2 linked regions of the Drosophila melanogaster genome follow. The gene in region 1 interacts genetically with each later gene. Each region holds a gene or a part of one and is shown on either strand. Other genes may lie near its edges.

Evidence for each region. A genetic interaction does not mean that the proteins touch.
Region 2: of RpL7 (region 1) and Ilp8, changing one suppresses a phenotype caused by changing the other (phenotypic suppression), as found in Drosophila melanogaster (one study listed by BioGRID).

Annotation. Positions count from the first base shown.
Region 1 is NT_033779.5:10,199,157-10,202,859, reverse strand, and holds RpL7 (ribosomal protein L7), read right to left. Parts: upstream 1,857-3,703; 5' UTR 1,712-1,856; intron 1,631-1,711; coding exon 1,332-1,630; intron 1,262-1,331; coding exon 802-1,261; 3' UTR 539-801; downstream 1-538. Other genes in the region: Ripalpha (RPA-interacting protein alpha), read left to right, coding at 2,322-2,444, 2,504-2,569, 2,624-3,028. UniProt on the Drosophila melanogaster protein: Binds to G-rich structures in 28S rRNA and in mRNAs. Plays a regulatory role in the translation apparatus; inhibits cell-free translation of mRNAs.
Region 2 is NT_037436.4:17,029,257-17,033,980, reverse strand, and holds Ilp8 (Insulin-like peptide 8), read left to right. Parts: upstream 1-1,900; 5' UTR 1,901-2,083; coding exon 2,084-2,095; intron 2,096-3,073; coding exon 3,074-3,272; intron 3,273-3,696; coding exon 3,697-3,938; 3' UTR 3,939-4,169; downstream 4,170-4,724. Other genes in the region: CG7730 (uncharacterized protein), read right to left, coding at 4,390-4,724.

The DNA of each region.
Region 1 (3,703 bases):
AACGGCATGTGCTCCATGTGGTAACGATTAATTAAATTATACATTTAAAAAGGGTGCCAGCTTCCTCCCGATTATTGACTAATTTCCATGCTATTGGAATTTACAATTTATGTTTGTTTGCTAACTGCTTTGGACTATTGTGTGTGTAAAAAAAAAAAAAACGATTTAAATCCACTGCCAGCTGAAAGGCAAACCATGATTCAATAAAGTGTACATTGGCAAACGATTTTTATCCCTGGCACCCTGAATCTAGCTTGCTATCTGCATTTAAGTGTTGTGCACTAAGCGCGCTTAAAATTTGACCAGAACAACAATAAACAATCTAGAGCGTAGACAAATTAACAAGAATCCTGTGTTTTCATTTCAAATAATGGGCCTACAAAAGCAAACTGTCTAAATTTTAAATTTAAATATTGCTATACATCGAATTATTAACGATTAGCAAACCAAAAAATTATACTGAACGTGGGGTTAATCTTAGCAAAGGGCAAGACTTTCTGGAGTACCGCAGAATTCTTTAAAGTAAAAATGTAACATTAAAATGAAAGAAAATTACTAAATTTAAAGTTGTTATGAAACTATTGGTACATTTAACTAAACGTTCCTTAAAAAAGTCCTCTCTCTCTTCACTGATATTTTCCAATTTAAGTCGCAATGACTAAATCAGCGAATCGAAGCGAAAACACTGCGTTTTTGTACTGAACGGCATTTCGTGGGTTTATAAAAGTAACTTTTATTTCTCTCACTGTTTACATCGAACCGCTGCAGTTGTCGTTTCAGCACATAAATCAAAAGGAGTCCTTAGACCATCTTGCGCAGCAGACGGTTGATCTGGTCCTCGCGGTTGCCGAAGTCACCACCGTTGACATAATGGTTGGCCTTCTTGCGCCAGCCGCCGGTGGGGGTGTTTAGCTTGAAGGGCCACAGGAAGTTGGAGGCGTACTTGAAGTTGGGCCCCACGGTGAAGATCTCATGGACAAGATCCTCGACGCACTGAATTTGGTGCGCCTGACGCAGCTTCCGCTCGATCACGAAGTTATCGGTGATGGGCACGCGCTGGCGGTTATGCTTCACGAATCCACGCTTGTAGATCAGCTCCCGCACGGACTTCAGATTGGGATAGCCCCAGGTGATGTAGGGCTCGGCGATGCGCAGCATGTTGATGGTGGCCTTGTTCAGCTTGATGAACACACCGTTGTTGATCTGCCTCAGACGGAACAGCTGCAGAACCTTGCGGACCTTGGGAGCCACCTTGTTGATACTGTTGGCGGTTAATGGGATTGGGCATGAATTGGTGTGACTTGTGCATGGAGGAGCATTAGAGGACTTACCCGCGGATACGGACGACAAAGGCCAATTTGGCCTCGGCGGGCACGTAGAACTGGTTGCGCTTCTTGGCCAAGCGACGCAGCTTGATCTCGCGCTGTTCCGCCTTGATGTACTCATTCTGGTACTTCTCGGCGCGGACCAGGTTCTCCTTCTTGCGCAGGGCAATCACGGCGGCCTTCTTCAGGCGACGTTTCGACTCGGCGACTCGCTTGGAGATTTGTTTCTTGCTGAACTTCAGCTTCGATTCCGGCACGGCGGGCAGCTTTTTCGCTGCTGGCTTCTTGACGACCGGAGCAGGCATCTGTGGGCGGCACAAAACAATGGCATTTGAGCGGTTTCCTTTCACTTTGGATGGTATTTTTATTGAAAATATCGCACTAACCTTTTACTAGTCACTGCACACGCTGGTAAAAGAAAGGGAAAGAAAGACCGGAAACGTGCTATACGCCAACTTCGGGCTGTCAAATCGGTACAACCCTGCTTTCAGTGCTGCGAAATGCGTGCACACGTGACACGCGCGCCATCGGCCAAACGGTCACACTGGCCGCGGAGTGGGCTATCGAAGAAGTGCCACCACTAGCAGAGCAACAGCAAATTGCGCGGATTTTTTTTTTTAGCAAAAAAGTTGTGTTTTTCAACTATTTCCGATTGCTAATTACTAGGTAAGTTGGTTAAACATGTTAATAGTGTATTTAAGCCGCCCTTAGTTCATGAATTCATTGTGCGAGCTGTCTTCATGGGCTGTGTTAAGTAATACTACTTATTTTATAATCTTTTATATATATGTGGAGATGAGTCGTATCTTACATTTACTTCATTTCACTTAATTTACCTAATTAATTTTGAATACCGTATACTTTTTAGATCACTATCAATCACCAACAGCGCTATAAAATTGGAACCTTGCCTTATTGACGACACTGACCTACCATATCTAGTTAAAAAAAAAGATTAAAAACAAACAAAATAACCACATATACAAATAAACCGAAATGAACTCCACTCAAAGCCCGGTTTATCGCACCTCCGTGGAGCAAAAGCGGCATGCTCAAGAAGTGGCCAAAAGACAGCGGATGGGCAACCAAATGCCAAGACTTCGCGAAATGCTGCGAGAGGTAAAGACATCAGTGTACCCCTTAAAGTACCAATATACTTACACATAAATACCCTGTAGAAATACCGCAAGCGCATCATAGAAACGCGCAATAGATGCACGGATGCCCAACGAGAAATCCAATTGGTAGGACATACAAATCTCCATAGTAAGCCCATCATAAACCACCCATTTTTTCAGTCCGAACTCAGGGAAATCCTGCGCCTGGAACTCAGTGAGCTAGAGAAGGATGTGGAGCTTGAGGAGCTGATTCTGGAGGAGCTACTATCCGATGTCAACGAGTGGTATGCCCTGGGCGAAAAGAATCTGGAAACGCTATACGCAGAGCCCGATGAGCAGCAAAAGGAGGTTTTATGCCCAGTTTGTCAGATTAAAAACCTACGCCATCACAAAGGTGCCTTCATCTGCGAGTGTGGCATCCGCTTCGAGCACTCTGCGAACATGGAACAGCTGCAGATACTGCTGCAACAACAAATCGCCAGCCATGAACTTCAGTGCACTCAGGCCCTGCGATTTTTCATCGAACCCGCTTCGGGACAACTATACGACATGTGCGGCAGCTGCGACTACTTCTCCTCCGTCTAGGTCGTTTATGGAGCTGGTTTCTACCGCTGACTGCTGATAGCTAGTTTAAAGGAGTTTATTAGTTATAATAAGATAAGTTACATAAGTTAAACTTCAGACAGTCTTATCAGTTTGGAAAACCAGAGATCTGCACAGAAGATTTTTTAGATCCGAAGGCTTTATATGCGTATTAAATTTTTGAAACAGTGATACATGATATTCCCCCCCTAATTAATCTAAATCCAAAGAATGATATGAGTTATGGCTAGAAATGAGATCTTTAAGCATATTGTTATAATTGCACAACAAATTAAAATTAAAATCTTAGGAATAACAGATTTATAAAATGTATTCTAGGCTCTTACAAAATTCAAACTAAACCATTCTTCTAATGTGGCATTCTAGATTAAGAAAATAAATCAGGTGCGAGACTAAGTTTGATTTATGAATATAAAACGTTTTTCTCTGCTTATTGTAAAGTTTAACAAACTATTTATTAATTGCTTATAACTTCTGGTTCGCTTCGAGTTGATTTAGTGCATCATATATGGGTCGATGGTATCAGTGGGCTGGCACCCCACGATTCCGGCGATGTGGGAAGAGCTTTTTCCCATCGCGCACGTGCGCGATCCCCCAGATTCAGATTCAGATTCAGATCAGTGCAATATCTTCTCGAGTTCGGGCTGACTGGCACTT
Region 2 (4,724 bases), on another chromosome or scaffold:
TTACCGTTATGCGTTGCCGATCGGATCGACGAGCGCGAGAATGCACATTCCGAAGGATACGTGCGAAATGCGGGAGAAAATGCAACTGCGCAGCAGCATTGCGCATACGCCACGAGGGCCGGCTAACATTTCCGCATGCGGGAATGCAACGAAAGCGAAAAGCAAGTGGCAAAAAAAAAGAAAACAGCATAACCAAAACGAATGTGGAAACGAAACCGAAACCAAATCCGAACCGAATCGGAATCGGAATCAGAAACGTAACAATCTGAACCCATAAAAAGTCGGCCGAAAGTGTGCATTGACCGAGAGAGCGGCTAAAAATATCCGAAAAAGAACGTAACACAAACGATCTGATAAAATAAGAACGCACGATGATGACGCCCGATCCAGAACAACCGTTAAGTGCTCCACCCCAAATGATGCTGCAACAGGGTGAGCGAAAGAGAGGGCGAGCCCGATACCGAAAGAGACAGAGGCAGAGCCGAACAGAAACGACAGTGAAAGTTCTACACTTTCGCTTTTTCACAGAACCCTGCTATCATACGAAAAGCAGCAATCGTAGAGATAGAAACCTTTGGAAATACAATACATAGTACATCAGCAAATGTGCGGTAACTTTATATATTATTTCTATATAAATCTGAATGTTTAACAACAATTTCGCTGGCCTTCCATTTTTTATTCACAACATAATACAATTTTTTTTTTTTAATGAATTCATTTTTTTAGACTTTGAACGAAATGCCCCCTATATGAACATTAAACTTTACTGTTTATTGGTTTCTGCAACCAGTTTTTTAAGAATGTTATGTTATCATTTAATTTCAGGTTGAATAAAACACCATGAGGTCCATTGGAATATTATTCAATGCAAAAATTTCTTAAGCTTTCAAATGTCTTAGCTTTCCATTGCTCAACGAACCTGTCATTCTAGACTCTTTACTTATAGTAAACAGTAGTACTTTGCCACTGAAAAAGATGGTAAAGGCATTTGGATCATTTTTTAGCATGCTAAATGATGAGTGAGTCTGGTACAAAGTATGATTTAACAAATGATTACCGCATTAAAGCTAATCACTGTTGTTTTTCTCGACTTTCAATGGGAAACGCCAGTCAACAATTTCAATTTTACAGTTCTTCAAATTCTACACACAATATTTGAATGGTTTTATGGGTCTGTTCAACTTGTTTATGGATCCACATAAATAAGCAATCATATTAGAGAAGCATGCACGGCTATCAAGAAGTGCGTTGCCCTGGTTGGAAAAGCCCCGGCAACAAGGTCCAAGTTTTCACTTTCACTGCCACCATCGGCCGTCAAATCACCAGTAGCTATTACTACCTTATTACATTGCCAAGGTGCGCTGATAAGAGTGTTTTTAGACTGTTCCAGCTAACAGTATTCGCCTCGGCTTTATCAAGAGCAGCAGCAAGTCCAGCAGCATGTGACTGTGACTCAGTGAGTCCGCCGAGTCCATTTATGTTGAAATTCGTTTAAGATCGAAACGGCGGCGCCATGAAACTATAAATGCCAACTCTTCTGGTCTGACGTCCGTTCCGAGGCCCATTGATAAAAAAAAATGTATATTTCTGAATGCTCGGCGCGCCCTGCCGCTTACGCAAAACTCCTGCGAGCGGATCCCGATCCCCAAAAAGCCGAGACCGAACCCCATAACCCATACCCCATACTCCATACCCGAAACCGAAACCGAAGAATTACAAATCCCGAAATCTGCTCTCTCTCTCTCTCTCTCTCTCACCCCCATCGCCCATTCCCATTGAAAAGTGAAGAGCGGCTGTCTGAGCGGCAAACTGAGCCGATCCGAAGCGCCGATCCTCGATTTTTGAGGCGCGTATAAAAGCTTGGCTACGTCGGCAACGAAAGCTCATTGTGCGCTCGCCGCTCGTGATTATCAGGTAACGTCGATCGGACGGACGGGTTAACCATTCAGCAAGTTAGCTCTGCAGCAAGTTTGCCCGCCAAAAGAAAACACGTATACGTAGTGTTGCAGCCAGAAAGGTGATCGACGTGCCTACTGATCTATTGATCTATTGAGAATTGTGATCCTAGAACGCCACTAAAATGAGTTCAAAGGTGAGTTCGAGTTGAAGTTAAACTCTTATTTTTGTTTTTTAACTATTACACTAGCATAACTAATTCGTGTAGCTCTTTAGCATTATAGTTGGTTAGTTGCTCAGCACCAAAGCATTAAACATCAAACATTCAGTTCTCAGAATGATTTCATACACCAAATTATGCATTCCTTGAAATCATTGTACTGAACTTAAACATTTCCAGTACAAGGTGGACTTTTCCAAATTGAGTCCAGAAATTTTCCAAACAAATAACTGTCTTCTAAGAACACTCCACTTTAATTACTTAAATTAGCTTCGCGCCACAAAAAAAGTGGGTGTGTGCAATTAACAGGCTGTCAGCTAAAAATATCAATATCCAATATAAACAAATGCGCTTTTGTTCTCCGCGGGCAAGAGCATAATGCCCGCATCGATTCCGAATCGGATTCATATGGCGGACTGGAGTGCTAAACAGACTGGAGTGTCACCGCAAGGTGCGATATACGAAATGCGAAATGCAAAATGCGGAAATGCCTACCTGCGGGGCGCATTACATAATTTCCACTTCAGCTCCAGATCGCCGTAATGTCGGGGAAGTTTCGGTCATTAAAAGCGGCAATTAAAATTCACCATTTGGCCGCGTCGACTTGCAAATGCGCTCCAGTTTATGTTTCGATCTTGATGCGATATTGACCCAGTTAATGGGCGGCATACTCCGGTGCGTGGGAGTCGGCGACGTCATCCAGACATCCCGGCATCCCGACACCCGGCTGTCGTCATCCGAAGTGGTTAATCCAGATGTGTCCAGAGCGGCGATCCAGATTCACATTGAAATGCCAAAGCAGGGCAGAGTGCAGCCGGTTAGAGGATCGTTGTAACACTTATGCGATAAATTCTGAACGTCAGCGATTTATAATTAGGAGCCGGAGGCCGGTTGGGTGTTTAATTTGGAATATACTCATACTCACTTGTTGTTTCGCCCGCTCCTCCATTGCAGTTGCATATGTGCCGCTGGATGCTGCTGGTCATCGGAGTCTGTTGCCTGATGGGCAGCTCGTCGGGCAGCTTCTGCTCCCTGGAGCGGATGAAGAAGTTCGCGATGGAGGCGTGCGAGCACCTCTTTCAGGCGGACGAGGGTGCCCGCCGCGACAGAAGGTCCATCGAGTTCGCGCACCACCATCTGAATCGACTTGGATGTAAGTATCTAGATCTAGATCTTAGATTTTAGAGCATAGTGTGGCACTAGGAAAAAAAATGTTTAAAAATATTTCGGATAAATTTAAAGATCAAATTATTATAATGCTTCGTTATGACTTTACCATTTTTAAATTTTGTTTCCAACTATAATACTTACGTTTTAAAATCTCAATTAAACAATATCCACTGAACATCGATAAGGAAAAGATTAAAATATTGGATTAGCGAGCTAATAAGGTCAGAGTGTCAGTCAACCCGACAATTGCATTCGGAACTGCATATCGAAAACACGTTTTTTTTTAAGTGTGTAGATTGCAATTAATACGGCATTTGCATAAAGCAGTTCCGATGCAAAAGTTAACCGACTTCAAGGCGCAGGTTCAAGATCAATTTGCTCACTGGCAACGTTTTCCCCCTTTTCAGCCGGCAAAACGCACAACAAGCATCACTACATCAGCCGAAGCAGCTATCCAATGGGTGGCTACCTGAAGGTGACCCGGGAGCACTTCAATCGCCTCAGCGAACTGGACATCTTTCCGCGCTACAAGCCCATCAAGCCGCACCACGAAAAGAAGCATCGCTTCAAGAGGGATCACTCGAGCAGGTCCTACAACAACATTCCCTACTGCTGTCTAAACCAGTGCGAGGAGGAGTTCTTCTGCTAAGAGAGCTCCAGTGTCATGCTCCATGCCCCACGCTCCAAGTCGGTGCCATCTGGTCAGAATCTTCTGAATCCGTCCATAGTTATAGTTAGGCTATTCATGTACATTCTACAAGTCGCGCTCACTCTTATAGAGTACCTTATTTGTGCCCACTCCCAGGGACACAGATCCATTTACAGTATTTATACACTTAGATCGATTTTGAATAAACAATCGAATACGGCAACTGATCGGAATTAAAGTGTTTTTTATAAAAATTGGTGGACAGTTAAAACTAAACAAACATTCAGAGAATTTAACAGCATATTAGGTTTAGAAGACGCATATAAAGGCTTAAAAGATTATTACAATCCTAGTACAAATGAGTCACGATGGCTAACAAATCTTTGTTGTATCACAATCTATTAATCACTAAATCACTTAATAAACCGACAGCTCGAACCATGGAATCAGCTTATATGGAACTAATATAGTAGGCGCCTTTGCAAACGTTGCATTTGTACTTGCGGCAGTTTTGTTCGCCAACTGGCTCCAGTGATCGAAAGTACTTGGATACCACCATCAAAATATCCTCACGTTGTCTCTGAAGGAAATCTTCGCCGAAGTCATCAAAGGTTTTAACGCAATGCATTAGAATGCGATAGAGGACCGCTTCAGTTGATACGAACGTATTCAGCGAGCGATCAATGTAATCCACGTTCTCCTCTACGAATGTGCGGGTCATCTGCATTAGAAGCTGTACAGCCTGATCGCTGAAGTATCTGGCCATGGCCTCCAAAACGTCCGTAA